Linked DNA regions of Sus scrofa. The protein of the gene in region 2 binds, or shares a complex with, the protein of the main gene of each other region. Links are inferred from orthologs where the notes say so. Each region holds a gene or a part of one and is shown on either strand. Other genes may lie near its edges. The genes, in order: SKP2, TRIM21 and ubiquitin-conjugating enzyme E2 E1.

Region 1 (4,425 bases), on a different chromosome or scaffold from region 2:
ACAAAAACTATAAGAGCACTTATATGTGGAATCTAAAACTATAACACACCAGTGCCTATAATAAAAAAAGAAGCAGATCACAGATATAGAGAACAAACTACTGGTTACCAGTGGGGAGAGGGAAGGGGGAAAGGGTAAGATAAGCACAGGTACGAACTAGTATGTGTTAAAGAAATAATCGACGAGGACATAATGTACAAAACAGGGCATAAAACCAATATTTTATAGTAACTATAAATACAGTATAACCTTTAAAAACTGTGAATCACTCTATTGTTCACCTCTAATTTTTGTAACATTGTACAGCAACTACACTTCAATTAAAAAAAAAAAAATCTTGCCAGGAATTCCCGTTGGGGCTCAGTGGAAACAAATCTGACTAGTATCCATGAAGTTGCAGGTTCGATCCCTGGCCTTGCTCAGTGGGCTAAGAATCCGGCATTGCCGTGAGCTGTGGTGAAGGTCACAGATGCAGCTCAGATCTGGTATTGCTGTGGCTTTGGCACAGGCCGGTGGCTACAGCTCCAATTCGACCCCTAGCCTGCAGGAAAAAAAAAAAATCTTGCCATCTGCAAACACTTATCTTTGCAAATCAAGATTCTGTTAATATTAGACTAATAAAACAAAGCATAACTGAATGCTGAAGGTTATAAAGACTTTGTCACATAGTACCCTTGACTTTAAATTCCTGTGTTTGTCTAAACAACTTCATTGTCCTCTTAGACCGAACTGAAAAAAAGAGTTATAAATATGAACTTAGAAAGAGGGCTTATAAACAGGGTTTTTTAAACTTGGTACTATTGACATTTCAGACCAGATTCTTTTCTGTGTGTTATTCTGCTGTCCTGTGCATTGTTCACCAGCATTCCTGGCTTCTGTCCACTAGATGCCAATAACACCCCTGCAGCCGTGACAATCAAAAATGTCTCTAGACCTCAACAAATGTCCCCTGCTTGGTCCCAGTTGAGAACCACTGCTTAAAACTAAGCAAACACCACGACAATTCCCTTCGTGGCTCAGCGGCTAACGATCCCGACTAGGATCCATGAGGATGTGGGTTCAATCCCTGGCCTCACTCAGTGGGTTAAGGATCCAGCATTGTGGTGAGCTGTGGTGTAGGTGGCAGATGCAGCTCAGATCCTGCATTGATGTGGCTGTGGTGTAGGCCGGCAGCAGCAGCTCCAATTTAACCCCTAGTCCGGGAACTTCCACATGCCGCACCTTAAAAAAAAAAAAAAAAACCACACACACACACAAAACAACTAAGCAAACACTGCATTTATTGATTTTTATGTTGGGGTTTTACTTAATTTAGTTAAAGTAAGTTCTTCTGGAGTTCCCACTGTGGCTCAGCAGGTTAAAAATTCAACATAGTGTCCCTGAGGAAGCCTGGCCTCGATCAGTGGTTAAAGATCTGGTGTTGCCACAAGCTGCAGTACAGGTCGTAGATGTGGCTTGGATCCAGCACTGCTGTTGCTGCTGCTGTGGCATAGGCCTGCAGTTGCATCTCTGATTTTACCCCTAGCCTGAGAACTTCCATATGCTGCAGGTGCAGTCGTAAAAAGAAAAGAGAAAAAAAAAGGTCTTCTGCTTAAACATAAATTAAACATAAATGCTTCCAGATTCTGGATTCAAACCTTGACACTATCCCACCAGCTTTACCTACCACTTCTGATCAGCGGCTGTAAGAATGGCAGCACATGAACTGGATTAAATGAGGCAGTTTATGGAGGACCGTGCTTGGGAAATGCTTGAGAAATCAAACTTGCTGTTATTGTTGGGTTTGCCGTTGCTAAGGGTCCAGCAGCCTGGAGAGTCTTACCTGATTTCTGCAGATTCTTTCGGTAGCCGCTGAGATTCAGCTGGGTGATGGTCTCTGACACGTGTGCAACAGCCACCTGCACGTGCTTTTCAGTGAAGTCATAACACCAGGAGAGGTTCAGCTCATCCAATCTGGACACGAGAGGGATGATGAGGAGAGTATAAAAGTGTCACCCACTTTTCTAGATAGCACTGCCTCAGGCTGTAAACCAAGAAAGTACAAAGCTGTACTTTCCTTACCATTTTCTGATAGAACCTCTGCTTCTCTAAGCAGCTACATCTGCTCACCTGAAACTGCCTTCACCTATCTAGGTCCAGTTTGTCCCAGAAAGTCTCCAGGAGATGTGAGCCAAAGCCTTAGTGAATGCTGCCCCCTTGTGGAAGTGGAGGGGAACGCTCTCCTTGCCTGCTGAGGGCTCGAACCTCATCCTAGGTAGGGCTCAAGGGGGAAACTCCAGGCTGTACATTTTTTTTTTTTTCTCAACCACCTGGGTTGTTAGCCAAAAACTACGAAGAATGAGCAAGTCCCTCAGATGTTTTAGAAAAATTGACAGATTGTGCTGGGGATTCCTAATAAAGAGATGCTCATATTACAAAAATCCACGTTTATCTTATTTGGCCTCTGCTAAGTGAGCAAATGAGGGCTTCAAAGTAAAAGTCCAACCATTAAACTACACACTCCATTCCTGACATTGCTGAGAAAATGTAGGGTTACCATTTTATCTCATTGACAACATGCTTATCCAAAGGCAATCTACTTTCAACAGGTCACTAAGGAGAAATAGGTATAATGCTATAGCACAGAGACCAAGGGATATTAAAAAGGACACATGCATAGACTATTGGGTATTCTGTGAACCATGTCCTCCCTCACGTATTAATTTCTCTAACTCTGTAGTCTTCCTTTATATACTGATATTACTACATAAAAGATAAATCAACCAAAGTCATGGAGTGTTCTGCAATAACAATATAATAACTGTTAAGTTAGGTCTACAGATTTTATAAAGCCTGACTGTATAGTCAGGTGTACACAGAATACTTTGAAGCATACCACTAATAAACACACTACTAAATTTCCCTTGTTTTAATAGTCACAGAAAAAAAAAAGGGATCACTATACAAGTGTCCTTTGCAGACTTAATCGACTTGGCTCTTGAGTTGAGATGGGAAGTTTGGAGGGCAAAGGATATTGCATTATCCAAATCAAGAGCTCAGAGAGTTAGGAATAGCTTAAAAATTTTATCTGATTATATTCTTTAAAATTTTTTATTTTTAATTTTTAAAAAACAATTTTTAGGGCCACATCCATGGCATATGGAGGTTCCCAGGCTAGGGGCTGGATCGGAGCTACAGCTGCTGGTCTACACCACAGTCCCAGCAATGCCAGATTCTTAACCTGCTGAGTGGGGCCAGGGATTGAACCCTCATCCTCATGGATGCTAGTAGGGTTCGTTACCACTGAGCTACAATGGGAACTCCTCCAATTCTATTCTGATGTGAGAGATAATTGTATATATGAAACAGTTCTATAATCAAATCTCAAATTTCTCCTACCTGGAACAGCTGCTCAGCAAGGTCTTTAGGGCAGATTCGGAGAATCCAGAACACCCAGAAAGGTTTAGTCGCACTAAATTTGTGTTCTGAGCAAGATTACTGGAAAAAGAGAACAGTGTCATAATACCAACAAAACACTCTTATTCAATCGACAAGCATGAGGTAAGTGATGTAGTTAAAAGTACTCAGACCTCTGAGTCAAAAGTTTGTTTTTTTCTCTTTAAAGGGCCGCGTGTGTGGCATATGGAAGTTCCCGGACTAGGAGTCGAATTGGAGCTGCAGCTGAGACCTACGCCTCAGCCACAGCAACACTGGACTGAGCCACATCTGTGATCCATGCTGCAGTCTGTGGCAACACCAGAACTTAACCCACTGAGCGAGGTCAGGGATCGAACCCACATCCTCATGGATATTAGCTGGGTTTTTAACTTGCTGAGCCACAACAGGAACTCCCTGAGTCAGAAGTTTAAATTCGCATCTTATGATCTCTATGGCACCAAGTAGGATGCTTTGCCTTAGTTTACTCCTCTGGGAAATGGCAACATCAGCACTTTTTGTTAAAATTGGATGATATTATGGAATAAAGGCCTTAGTACAGTATCTGGGACACAGTGAGTACACAACAAACACTGATCAATGTACTTTTTAAATTGAAAAAAAAAAACAAAAACAAAAAACAAGAAAAATCCAGCAATAAAACATATTTCCATTTCACCCACAGCCAGAGTTAGTTGTAGGTAAATGTCTATGTGTCAAGTCACCAGGTTGCTTCAATTAAGTGTCTCTCAGATTTGCCCTCTCCTCCTTCCCAAATGCCTCATGTTAGTGAAACTTAGTGATGAAGGGCAAGAGTTCTGGAATCATACTGTATTGCCAGGTTCAAATCTCACTTCTGCCACCTACTAACTATGTGACCTTGGACAAGTTATTCAGCCTCTCTGTTCCTCAGTTTCCATATCTGTAAAAAGGGAACAGTAAGAACATATTTCATGGGGTTGCTGTGAGGATTAAATCAGAATACCTTTAAAGAACCTAATATTTGGCACA
Region 2 (4,927 bases):
TCCCCTTGGGTGTCAATGGAAAGAAAGAGGTGTTTTGGTTTTTTCAATCAAAATCTCCTAAGCTTTGGGAATGGAGGTATCCATATCTACTTGCCTTCCTTGTAGACTCATCATCTGGCTGTGTCTGGGAATAAACACACATCCGCAATTTTGCTGGGGAGGTCAGTGGGGGGCTGGAGCTTCTTCCACTAAGAGGGGGAGGTTGGGGGGGGGGGCGCTGAAGCGTCCTGGACTAAGAGGGGGAGTGGCGCTGGTGGGGAGAGCACCGGAGCTGCCCTACAACCATGGCAACATCAGCCGAAAGTACCAGGGACTCCTCAACCTTCTTCAGGTCACCGCCCAAATGTGCCCCTTTGTCCTCTTATCCCAGCGAGTTGCAGAGGGAGCAACCCCGTCCCTACCCCTAAAGCCTCGCAAAGACAGCTCACTAGTCCACTCCCAAGCCCTGGGGGAAACTGGGCTAGTCTCTGCCTGCCCTCTCCTGCTGTGACCAGAGAGGGACGTGATGACACGAGATGACCTCTCTTGCCGCCACAGCCTGACTCACCCTTCCCGGGTCCATGAGCTCCTCCCACTGTCTCTAGTTCCTGACCCACTGCTGCCCAAGCCCTGGAGCAGAACAGGCCGTAGCTCCCGCGACACCTTGCACCAGGAACAGCACGCCGTCAAGAAACCCCTGGTCAGGCTGGTTTTCCTCCCTCAGGCCTTGATGGCTCCTTAAGTCTGTCCTCAGAGCCCTTGTCATGTCCCGACAGGCCGAGCCACCGGGCATTCCTTCCTGGGACTCCTCTGTTGCAGACACGGGCCCTGTGCTGTCATCGCCTGAGACCGGGCTCCAGGAACAGGAGCTTTGGGGTCCGTCTTGTCCCCGTGCATTCTCCCCAAGACCCCCTGTCTTTGCGTCTGACTGGAGTGCCCGCCTTTTGGGCACCGTGCTTTCCTGCTCCCTTCTCTCAGGAGACCCAGGGCACGGCTGGTTTTTGGAGACTGACACATGGGGACTCCCAGTCTCCTGACGGGCATAGCTATGCACAGAGCTCTCGAGGCCAGGACCCTGGACCCTCCCCAGGCTTCTGATCTAAAGTGCCCTTCAGGACGTGCCCCTTGCCTTCCAGGCTGCTCTCTTCGTTGCAATATCCGCTTCCAGCTTCTCAGCCTGCTCCTGTTTATTTCTGAGTTTCTCGAGTGCCACCTGGAGCTTCTCCTGCAGAGAAAGACAGCGGGTAATGCCCAGTCAGACCAAAAAGTAGGGTGGGGGGGCACAAGGTCCAGGAGGATCCTACTGGTCCTTAGAAAAGCCTGAGGCGGGGAGGAGGAAGGGTGAGCCTCTGACCGGGGTGGGCATTCTGTGATGGGAAGACTCTGGAAAAAGCCTGATGTTTCTTAGGAAATAGAGGTACCCTGTTGGCGTGGTGGGGGTGGGGACACATTCGTTCCTAATTAACCAGGAGGCCACACAGAAGCATGGGCCTTGCAGCCTTTTCCCACAACAGACGCCCTGCTCCTGGGCAGTGGGAAAATCGTGCCGAGATGGTGGGTCTTCCCTTAAATAGGACATAGAAGGCAGGGGATCCCCTTCCTGTCCCCAACCCCTCAACTCCACAGGTGACTCGGTCCCACCCCCAGCCCGGGAGAACAAAGCGCTTATCAGGGCCCCACCTTCTTCCCGCCTGCTCGTGCCCAGGTGCCTCCGGGCTAAGGCCTCACCTGGTACTCCTGAGCCGCCTCCTCAATGGGGACCATGGTGTGGTCCCGGTGTTTCCGGGACTGGGAACACACCCAGCAAAGGACCTTCCCATCGTCCTTACAGAACAGGTGAAGCTTCTCTCCGTGCACCGCACACAGCTCCCACTGCGGGCCTTCCTTGACCCCCTGGCTCATCTCTTTGAGGTTATCCACCATGTTGGCCACCTGCCGATTGGGCCGGAGGTTCCTGAGCAGGAAGTGCTGCCGGCACACAGGACAGACGCTGCCCCCATCCTTCCCAACCTCGGAGATGCATTCCTGGCAGAAGCTGTGGCCACATTCGATGCTCACGGGCTCCACCATGGGATCCAGGCAGATGGAGCACGTGACCTCATCCCACATCCTTGCCAAGGGCAGTGCTGAGGCCATGGTGCTGCCGGGCTATGAAGCAGCGCTGAGGAGATCTCGGGGTGGCCTAGCGGGGAGGGGAGAAAAGGAAAGAAGGCGATGAGAAGAGCTGTGTGAGGAAAACAGAACAATTCAAAGGAGACCTCGAGGGAGCGTGAACTGGAGGGGCTGAAAACAAAGGTAACAACGACGTCAACCTGAGTCACAAGGGCTTCTCCTCCGGAGTCTGGTCCAATGAGCCAGTCAGACAGAAGGGGAAACTGAGTCCTCAAAAGAGATAGCAAAAATTGCTGGGAATCTGAGATCAAGCTGCTTACAGTTCCACTTTCATGTCTATCTCTGCTGAAACCCTCGGCGCCCAGGCTTACTCGTCCATCTTCCATCTCCAGCCACTGGTCCTCTTGCTCTGCTGAGAAGCTAATCCTAATAGCAGCGACCACTTACCATGCCCCTTCCCCCGTGCCGGGAGGCACATACTTCACATTCCTCCTCATTAATCCCTGAAACTTGGCAGGAAGGAGCTATCTATCACCCACAATATGAACATATAAATAAGTATATATATACACACACATCTGCACGTGCACATATTTATCCATATGTGCAGGTGTACATACCTATGTGTGTACACACACACAGACACACCCACACACCCACACATGTCTAAAGAGCACTCCCCCACCTGTTCCCTCAGCTTCCTGAAGCAGGCACCTGTCTTTGTTTCCTCCAGGGCACAGACCCCAAAACTTCTAATACCCTAAGCAACCCTGCCCCTGTCGTTTCCAGAGGGGACTTTTGTGGATGGGCGTCTCGGGGATGGCAGGCCTACCCCGCCCTGGGCTCCGGAGGACTTGGAAGTCGGTTCACAGCCCAGCCTCCTCCCGGGCGGACGGCAGCACGGGGAAAACCGCCGGTTAGGGTCGAGGGAACCCTGCGCCCAAGAGGGCTCTGGGGCAGCAGAGAGCTCGGCTGCAAGGGGCTCTTCAGATCCGGGGCAGCGGAGAGCGGTCCCCCGGGGAGGCCTGGGGTACCCGGGTCTAACCGAGTTCGTGAATCCACTCACCTTTTCAAGGGACTCCGCAGATAATAGCTGGCTCCAAGTTTCACTTTCGATTTCCCGCATTTCCCGTCGAGCGCAAGTCTGAAAGGAAGGGGAGGGAAGGGGCGGAGGCGGAAGGCGGGAGGCGGGCGCGTTGAGCTTCGGCCAGTGTCAGCGCCCCGGGGCTAGGATGGCTCAGAGGCTCCGCAGCATCCAGTCCTTGCTTTGCGCTCCTTTCCAAGTCTCTCTGTCTAGTGGCCTCAAGTAGTGTGACTGCTCCGTGGAGAGGCTGCTCTCTTTGACTCGGGTGCTTAGCCCCAGCCTCCGTACCGTGCCACCCAGAGCTGCCTTAAGGAGTTTGGGGTGACCGAAGGAGCTCGGGGGAGCTCTCCCACAAAGGCCACCGTCTCTAGGGAGTTCCCTTCATGGCTCAGTGGTTAACCAACCCGACTAGGATCCATGAGGATGTGGGTTCCATCCCTGGCCTCGCTCAGTGCGTTAAGGATCTGACCTTTCGGTGAGCGGTGGTGTAGGTTTCAGGCGCCGCTGGGATCTGGTGTGGCTGTGGCTGTGGTTGAAGGCCGTCCCCTGTAGCTCTTATTTGATCCCTAGCCTGGGAACCTCCATATGCCACAAGTGTGTTCCTGAAAAGCAAAAAAAAAAAAAAAAAAAAAAAAAAGGCCAGTTTCTCTCTCCTACTTCAGGAAAAAATTCTTTTTAGGAGATGCGGTAATTAACATTGGGGAGAGAGGGATTTTTTTCCTGCATTTCTCCAAGGTGGGTATCACACCAGGGAGTGGGACGAAGGGGCCTGACATTTATTGAGCACCAACTGTAAACTTCTCACTGAGCTAGGGGTTTTCTCAGGTTTATTATTATCAATTTTAAAATTTGCAGCAAAATACACATAGCATTCACCATCTTAGCCATTTGTAAGTGTCTAGTTGCGTGGCATTAAATGCATTCACATTATTGTATGACCGTCACACTATCCACACACAGAACTTTGATCTTGCGAAACGTGAACTCTGCCCCCATTAAACAATAGTTTCCCATTCCTCCCTCCCCTCAGCCCCTGGCAACCACCATTCTGTTCTCTGTCTCTGTGAGTTTGACGTTTTCGGTGCCTTACGTAAGTGGCATCCTACCGTATTTGTCCCTTTGTGACTGGTGTATTTCACATAACCTGAGATCCTCAAGGTTCATCCACCGGAGCCGGTGACAGGACTGCCTTCCTTTTAAGGCTGAGCGATATTCCAGCGTCTGAGTATTCATTTTGATTATCCGGTTATCTGTCGACGGATGCTTGGGGTGGGTGGCTTCCGCCTACTGGTTAGGGTTAGGGTTAATACTGCTGTGTCAGGTTGTTTGCTTTAAGCCACGCAGCGACTTAGCAGTTGAGTTATTGTCACAGGAGAGGACACTGAGAATAAAGGGAGTGAGGTGACTTTAAGTGACACGGTAAACCATGGTGCCTGAGAGTTAAAAGTTCAGGGAGGACCCTCGTGTTAGGGACAGCCAGGAGATAACAGGCTGCCTGAGAGTCCAAGCAGAGGTTGTAGGCGCAGCTGATAGGTGTGCTCATGTGCTGTAGAGAAGGAAGATGGTGAGGCTGGAAAAACTCTCACTTCCTTCCTACTCATTTCTTTTGTCCCCATATAAAATAAATATCGGGAGTTCCCGTCGTGGCTCAGCGGTTAATGAATCAGACTAGCATCCATGAGGAGGCAGGTTTGATCCCTAGCCTCGCTCAGTGGATTAAGGATCTGGCATTGCTGTGGCTGTGGTGTAGGC
Region 3 (4,923 bases), on a different chromosome or scaffold from region 2:
GTCGTCCCATCTGAGTTTATTTCAGGCTTGCTTGTTGTTTTCTCTTGAATTTATGTCTTTATCATCAGAAGGACAAAAAGTATACAACCTGGTTTAAGGAGGTTTTTTTTGTTTGTTTTGTATTGTCTACCAGGATTCTTGAAATCAAACTCTCACCTCCAGGATCTTTTCAAAATTTCTAGACATTTGAGTGATTGAGGGATAGCTCTGTCTGGAGGTAGGAGGCTGGAGGCTGAAATGATGACTGAAGTGGTTTTTTCCCAGTTTTTGGACCCCTCAGGTCTATGACAATTTCTGCAAGTAGACAGATACAGGTTTCCCGGAAAGGACTGAGCAAGAAGTCTGCACGATTACTTTATGACTCTTAAAAAAGTTGGAGTTTCATGTTGAGGACTAGAAGAGGTTTAGGTGGGTGGTAAGAATGCTTGTTTTCCTGGTTAGTTGGATATGCCACTGGCTTTATGTCTTCTGTTGTCCGGTGGTAAATGAAGCCACACTGTTGCTATGGAAAAGGATGGCAGTTTGGGATAATTTAGAGTGGCCCAGGGAAATCTGGGCAGTTGCTTAGTGTACCACACCTAGTATATGTTACACTACACATATCTCTTCAGTTTCCTGCAACTGAAATGACAAATAAGTGAGAAACTGAATTGTAATTTGATGGCTTAACTAAAAAAAATTAATCTTGGTAAACACGATAAATAAAGAAGAGTTCCGAAGAATTAGAGGGATTATTATTAAAATCTTATGATTTGAATAGCATTTATATTGTCGCTGAAGAAGCTGCAGCCGTCCTCAAAACTTTTAATATAATTTCCGACAGCAAAAATTCTAAATCCAGTCTAATTCAGTAGTAGAGGGTTTATTCCCATTGATTTCTCACATTAGAAAGCCTCTTAGACGTTGGTTGGTTTTACCTGTCACGAAATCCACTGTATCACTTTTATAAAACACTTCTTTCTATAAAAAGTGACTGGAAGAATCGAAAATTGTAAAATTGCACGTGCCTGAGCAGAAAACTCCAATCTTGGGATTTTCTCACAGGCGTGCCTAAACCGACCTCTGCTCCTAGCAGGTAAATTGCCAGAGGGGGAAGCCAGGGTCAGCCCAAAGGAAACCCTGTTGTGGGATTTCTTTCTTTCTCCCTTAAACTGATCACTTTTTAGGAGGAGTTCCCTCGGTATTCACTAGTCCAAAGTCCTGGCACCAGATTACCATCTTTTTTACCAAACTGCCCCCGCTTTCCCAAAGCCCTTTTGGTAAGAACTTCCCCTCGCGGTCGCCCTATTCCCGACAGTTCCCAGCGCCCCCAGTCTCGGGACGGCTTCCCCTCTTCAGCCCAGGATCCAGGGGTCCCCCAGACTCCTCCGGAGAAAATTCACAGCCCTTGCCCCCTGGCCCCGCGTCCCGACGAGGCGCCGGGGTGGGGGTGGGGCGGGGAGGGGCCGGGCTTCCCGGGGTCCCCGGGTGCTCCTGGCGCCCCCCGGAGGTGTGCCCGGGGAGGGGAGCGCGGGTGGGTGGGACCGGCCGGACGGGGTGGGGGAGGGGGAGGAGGAGTGTGTGTGCGAGCGTGTGTGGCTGGGGGAAGCCATTGCCTGTTTAATAGTTGCTGTTGCTGCACTTCCGCTTCTCTCCCAGCGAGAGAGACACGAGTGGCCAGGCCCAGCCGCAGCCGCAGCAGCAGCCGCCGCGGCGGCACGGAGCAGCCAGACACAAAGAGAGGTACGGGGATCCCCCCCGCCGCCTGCCGCCCCCCGGCCGCGCCGCCGGGCTTCGGGGACACCCCTCGCCGCCGCCCCCGACCCGCGCCGCCCGGGCCGCCGGGCACGGGGCCGGGGGCGCGGAGAGGGGCTAGGGAGCTCCGGGGGTCCGGGCCCGCCCGCGGGGGATGGGCAGGGCCCCGGGCCGCGTGGGGTGCGGGGCCGCCCGCGTCGGGGGCGGGGGGCACAGGGCTCGAACTGTCAGCGCTGCCCCGGGAGCCCCCCGCTGGCCGCCGAGGGGCCGGGAACGGGGGAGGGGAGGCGGGGAGCCCCGTTTTCCCCTGGGGCGGGGGCCCGTGGGGATTAACCCCTCCGGGGCGCACGGGCTCATTGTTATTCCTCAGCAGAGGAGGCCGAGTCCCCCCCTCACCCCCGCCCCCACCCGGGGTGCCGATCGGGCGTGTGCCTGGGACCCCCGCCCGGGCCGCGCAGACCCGACCCGCACGGTCCGGGGGCTGGCTGGCAAGGGGCGTCGGGGCGCGGCGGGGGCCTCGGGCCTCGTCGCTCCTACCCCCCTCCGGCCTCTCCCTTCCCCCACGCGGGCCCCCGCTGCCCGCCTCCGTCCCCCCGTTTCGGCTTCCTCTCTTACTCCTCTCCGCCCTCCTCTCCTCCTGACCTCGCCAAACTCGGCGGCTGGCCCCCAGCTCCCCTACGACCCCCGGAAAGCCGCCGAAAACAGCCCGAGGCCGGCTGGCCGCCGGGACCTTCCCTGCCCGCCCCGGCCGGGCGCCCCGCACCCCCGCCCGCCGGCTGCTCCTCTCCCCGCCCGGAGGGGAGCCCCGGGGGGCGAGGGAGGGGCTGCTCTCTGCCCTCCCAACCGTTTTCCCACCACGTCCCCCACATGGGGCCCCGAATAAACAAACAAGCCGCGTCCAATTTGCAAAAGCCATGATGGGCCCGAAGACTTTGAAAAGCGAGTGGAGGGCGGTGGGCGGCTGGGTGCACCCCCGGCCGAAGCCCTCCTGACAGCGCCCGAGTTCCTTATTTACACTGGCTGCATGGTTTGTGTTTCTGTTTTGTTTCCCTCCCCCTGCAGGGGCTGTTTGCGGGGTGGGGTGGGGGGTTCGCTATGTCGGATGACGATTCGAGGGCCAGCACCAGCTCCTCCTCATCTTCGTCCTCCAACCAGCAAACCGAGAAAGAAACAAACACCCCCAAGAAGAAGGAGAGTAAAGTCAGCATGAGCAAAAACTCCAAACTCCTCTCCACCAGCGCCAAGAGGTACGGTACCCCCTCCCCACCCCCACCCCCAGCAGGCTTCCTATTTCCCAAACTGCCTCTTGCTGCATTTGGTCTGCCTCCATGAGGGTAGCTTAACCGCTCCTCATGGTTTATATGTTCTTAAAGAGGAGAAAAGGGGCCTTGGAGGCCCTAATTGTTTTTCTCGGTGCCTTCTTCTGTTTTTTCTTTTAATCACTGTCCACATGCAGCTGTTGTGGCTTGCCTCTCCCATATCTTGCTGAAGTTTGTAAGAATTTTCATTACTATTATTAGTGACCACCGAATCTGATTTCACATTACTTGTCCTGTTAATCACTAATCTGTGACCCTTCTCAAGGCTGTCATCCCACTTCTTACTAATACCTACCCAGACAGTTCTATCACAATGAATTCTATTACCGTCTTACTTCTCACCTGTTGCACTTATGAACTGTTTTGAATAGAGCTTTCTCCACAGATTGCATGAGGAATAAATAACTCATTTTGGCAGAGTAAAAACTCTAATGGGTAGAGATAGATGTTTTCGGATGGAATTTAAAGAGATTTTTTAGATTTAGAGAGTTGAGGCAAGTGAATGAATCAATAGGTGATGTAAAATGGCTATTCTAGGCTATTTTGGGGATTCTTGTTGTTCTCTTTGAGAACCTCAATTTACCAAATTTCAGGGAAACTCAAATTTTTTTCATGGTATTTCATTGTTGATTTTTAAGTTGAATTCAAGCAGTGGTTCTTTTTCTTTGCTCTCTTCCTCTTATGTCTCTGGAAGAAGCTACTTTTTAACCTCCATTATCCTTCAGTAGTGTCCTCTGATTCCCATGACCCTTAAAGTATCTATAGTAGATTCCTGGGAACCCCTATAGTTTATAAATCCTGCTGTCGGTTGTAGAGTCATTAAACTTTAAGGTGGCAAACCAGAAAGACAGTAAGGAATCCAAATGGTGGGTTAGCTGGAGATACCTTTCTTTTTTTCTTTTTACTGTTCTTTCTTTTTTTTTTTTTAGGGCCCCACCCTTGGCATATGGAGGTTCCTAGGCTAGGGGTCCATTCACCATAGCCACAGGAAGGAGGGAACGGAGCGGGTCCTTAATGAACTGAAGGAGGCCAGGGATTAGACCTGTGTCCTCATGGATGCTAGTCAGATATGATTCCGCTGAGCCCCTGAGGGGAACGCCGAGATACCTTTATTAAAACAATGTAAAGTAAAAGGGAACTTGATGCTTTAAATCTCTTCACTGAGTAGTGTGCCAAATAGAGTTTGAAAGTTTGTCCTGTTACTCTCCCTGACTTGAAATTTGGTAGGTTGGTACGGTGTTTTGGTGACCTCACCCTAGGAGGATGAAGGGATGACTTGCGCTTATTTTAAATAGTGGAGAGGTGTAGAGTTAAGTGGCAAGATCCTTTGGTAAGATTGTTCTTGGTTTCAGGGGTTAGTTTGATTGCACCTCAACTTTATGGAAGTCCTAACTGGTCCTTTTTGTTTAGCCCTGTGCTGTGTCTTTCAGAACCTGGCATCTACTCCTGCCCACTTTGGATGGGGCCTTCCTTAATCTTCCTCCCAACTCCTTCCCAGCATCTAAACTCCTTATCCAAGCTGACCTAAGGTGGAATATTTGCTTTTAGGTCATTAGTATTTTTATATTTTGCTGGATATCTCTGGTGTACATGAATATATTTGGGGATGATGCACAGGTGTCAAATATTAGTCTGCTTTGTGTCAGCAAATTACAGAGGGGGATTTATCATTAGATACAATTTGTCCATTTACTCTAGGGGGGTTAAAAACTCATTTGGAAATGCAGGGGAAAGAGATGGTAGGTGGAAAAAAAAAAAGGTGAGAAGCTACCGACCATAATTGTACCTATAAAGTTAACATCAGCTTTACTTTCCTGGGAATCTTGCGGAAAGAGTGGCTGTTAATGTAAAGTTAGTGTAATGGTTAATA

Evidence for each region.
Region 1: TRIM21 (region 2) and SKP2 share a complex: the UniProt entries of both Homo sapiens proteins name them as parts of the SCF(SKP2)-like complex. The link is inferred for Sus scrofa from reciprocal best matches to the Homo sapiens genes TRIM21 and SKP2.
Region 3: the proteins of TRIM21 (region 2) and ubiquitin-conjugating enzyme E2 E1 are in contact, whole or in part, in a crystal structure (PDB 6FGA), measured with the Homo sapiens proteins. The link is inferred for Sus scrofa from reciprocal best matches to the Homo sapiens genes TRIM21 and UBE2E1. Residues at the interface, in NP_003132.2 of Homo sapiens: Pro17, Ile18, Cys19, Leu20, Asp21, Glu38, Cys39, Gln42, Val43, Pro52, Arg55; in NP_003332.1 of Homo sapiens: Lys43, Lys50, Arg51, Lys54, Pro107, Phe108, Asn138, Trp139, Ser140, Pro141, Ala142, Thr144.

Annotation. Positions count from the first base shown.
Region 1 is NC_010458.4:21,483,336-21,487,760, reverse strand, and holds part of SKP2 (S-phase kinase-associated protein 2), read right to left. Parts: intron 3,478-4,425; coding exon 3,379-3,477; intron 1,954-3,378; coding exon 1,823-1,953; intron 1-1,822. UniProt on the Homo sapiens protein: Substrate recognition component of a SCF (SKP1-CUL1-F-box protein) E3 ubiquitin-protein ligase complex which mediates the ubiquitination and subsequent proteasomal degradation of target proteins involved in cell cycle progression, signal transduction and transcription.
Region 2 is NC_010451.4:5,780,510-5,785,436, reverse strand, and holds the start of TRIM21 (E3 ubiquitin-protein ligase TRIM21), read right to left. Parts: upstream 3,305-4,927; 5' UTR 3,158-3,304; intron 3,131-3,157; exon of another isoform or gene 2,924-3,130; intron 2,162-2,923; 5' UTR 2,116-2,161; coding exon 1,708-2,115; intron 1,205-1,707; coding exon 1,109-1,204; intron 5-1,108; coding exon 1-4. UniProt on the Homo sapiens protein: E3 ubiquitin-protein ligase whose activity is dependent on E2 enzymes, UBE2D1, UBE2D2, UBE2E1 and UBE2E2.
Region 3 is NC_010455.5:10,604,303-10,609,225, forward strand, and holds the start of ubiquitin-conjugating enzyme E2 E1, read left to right. Parts: upstream 1-1,534; 5' UTR 1,535-1,722; intron 1,723-2,796; 5' UTR 2,797-2,829; coding exon 2,830-2,981; intron 2,982-4,923. UniProt on the Homo sapiens protein: Accepts ubiquitin from the E1 complex and catalyzes its covalent attachment to other proteins. Catalyzes the covalent attachment of ISG15 to other proteins. Mediates the selective degradation of short-lived and abnormal proteins.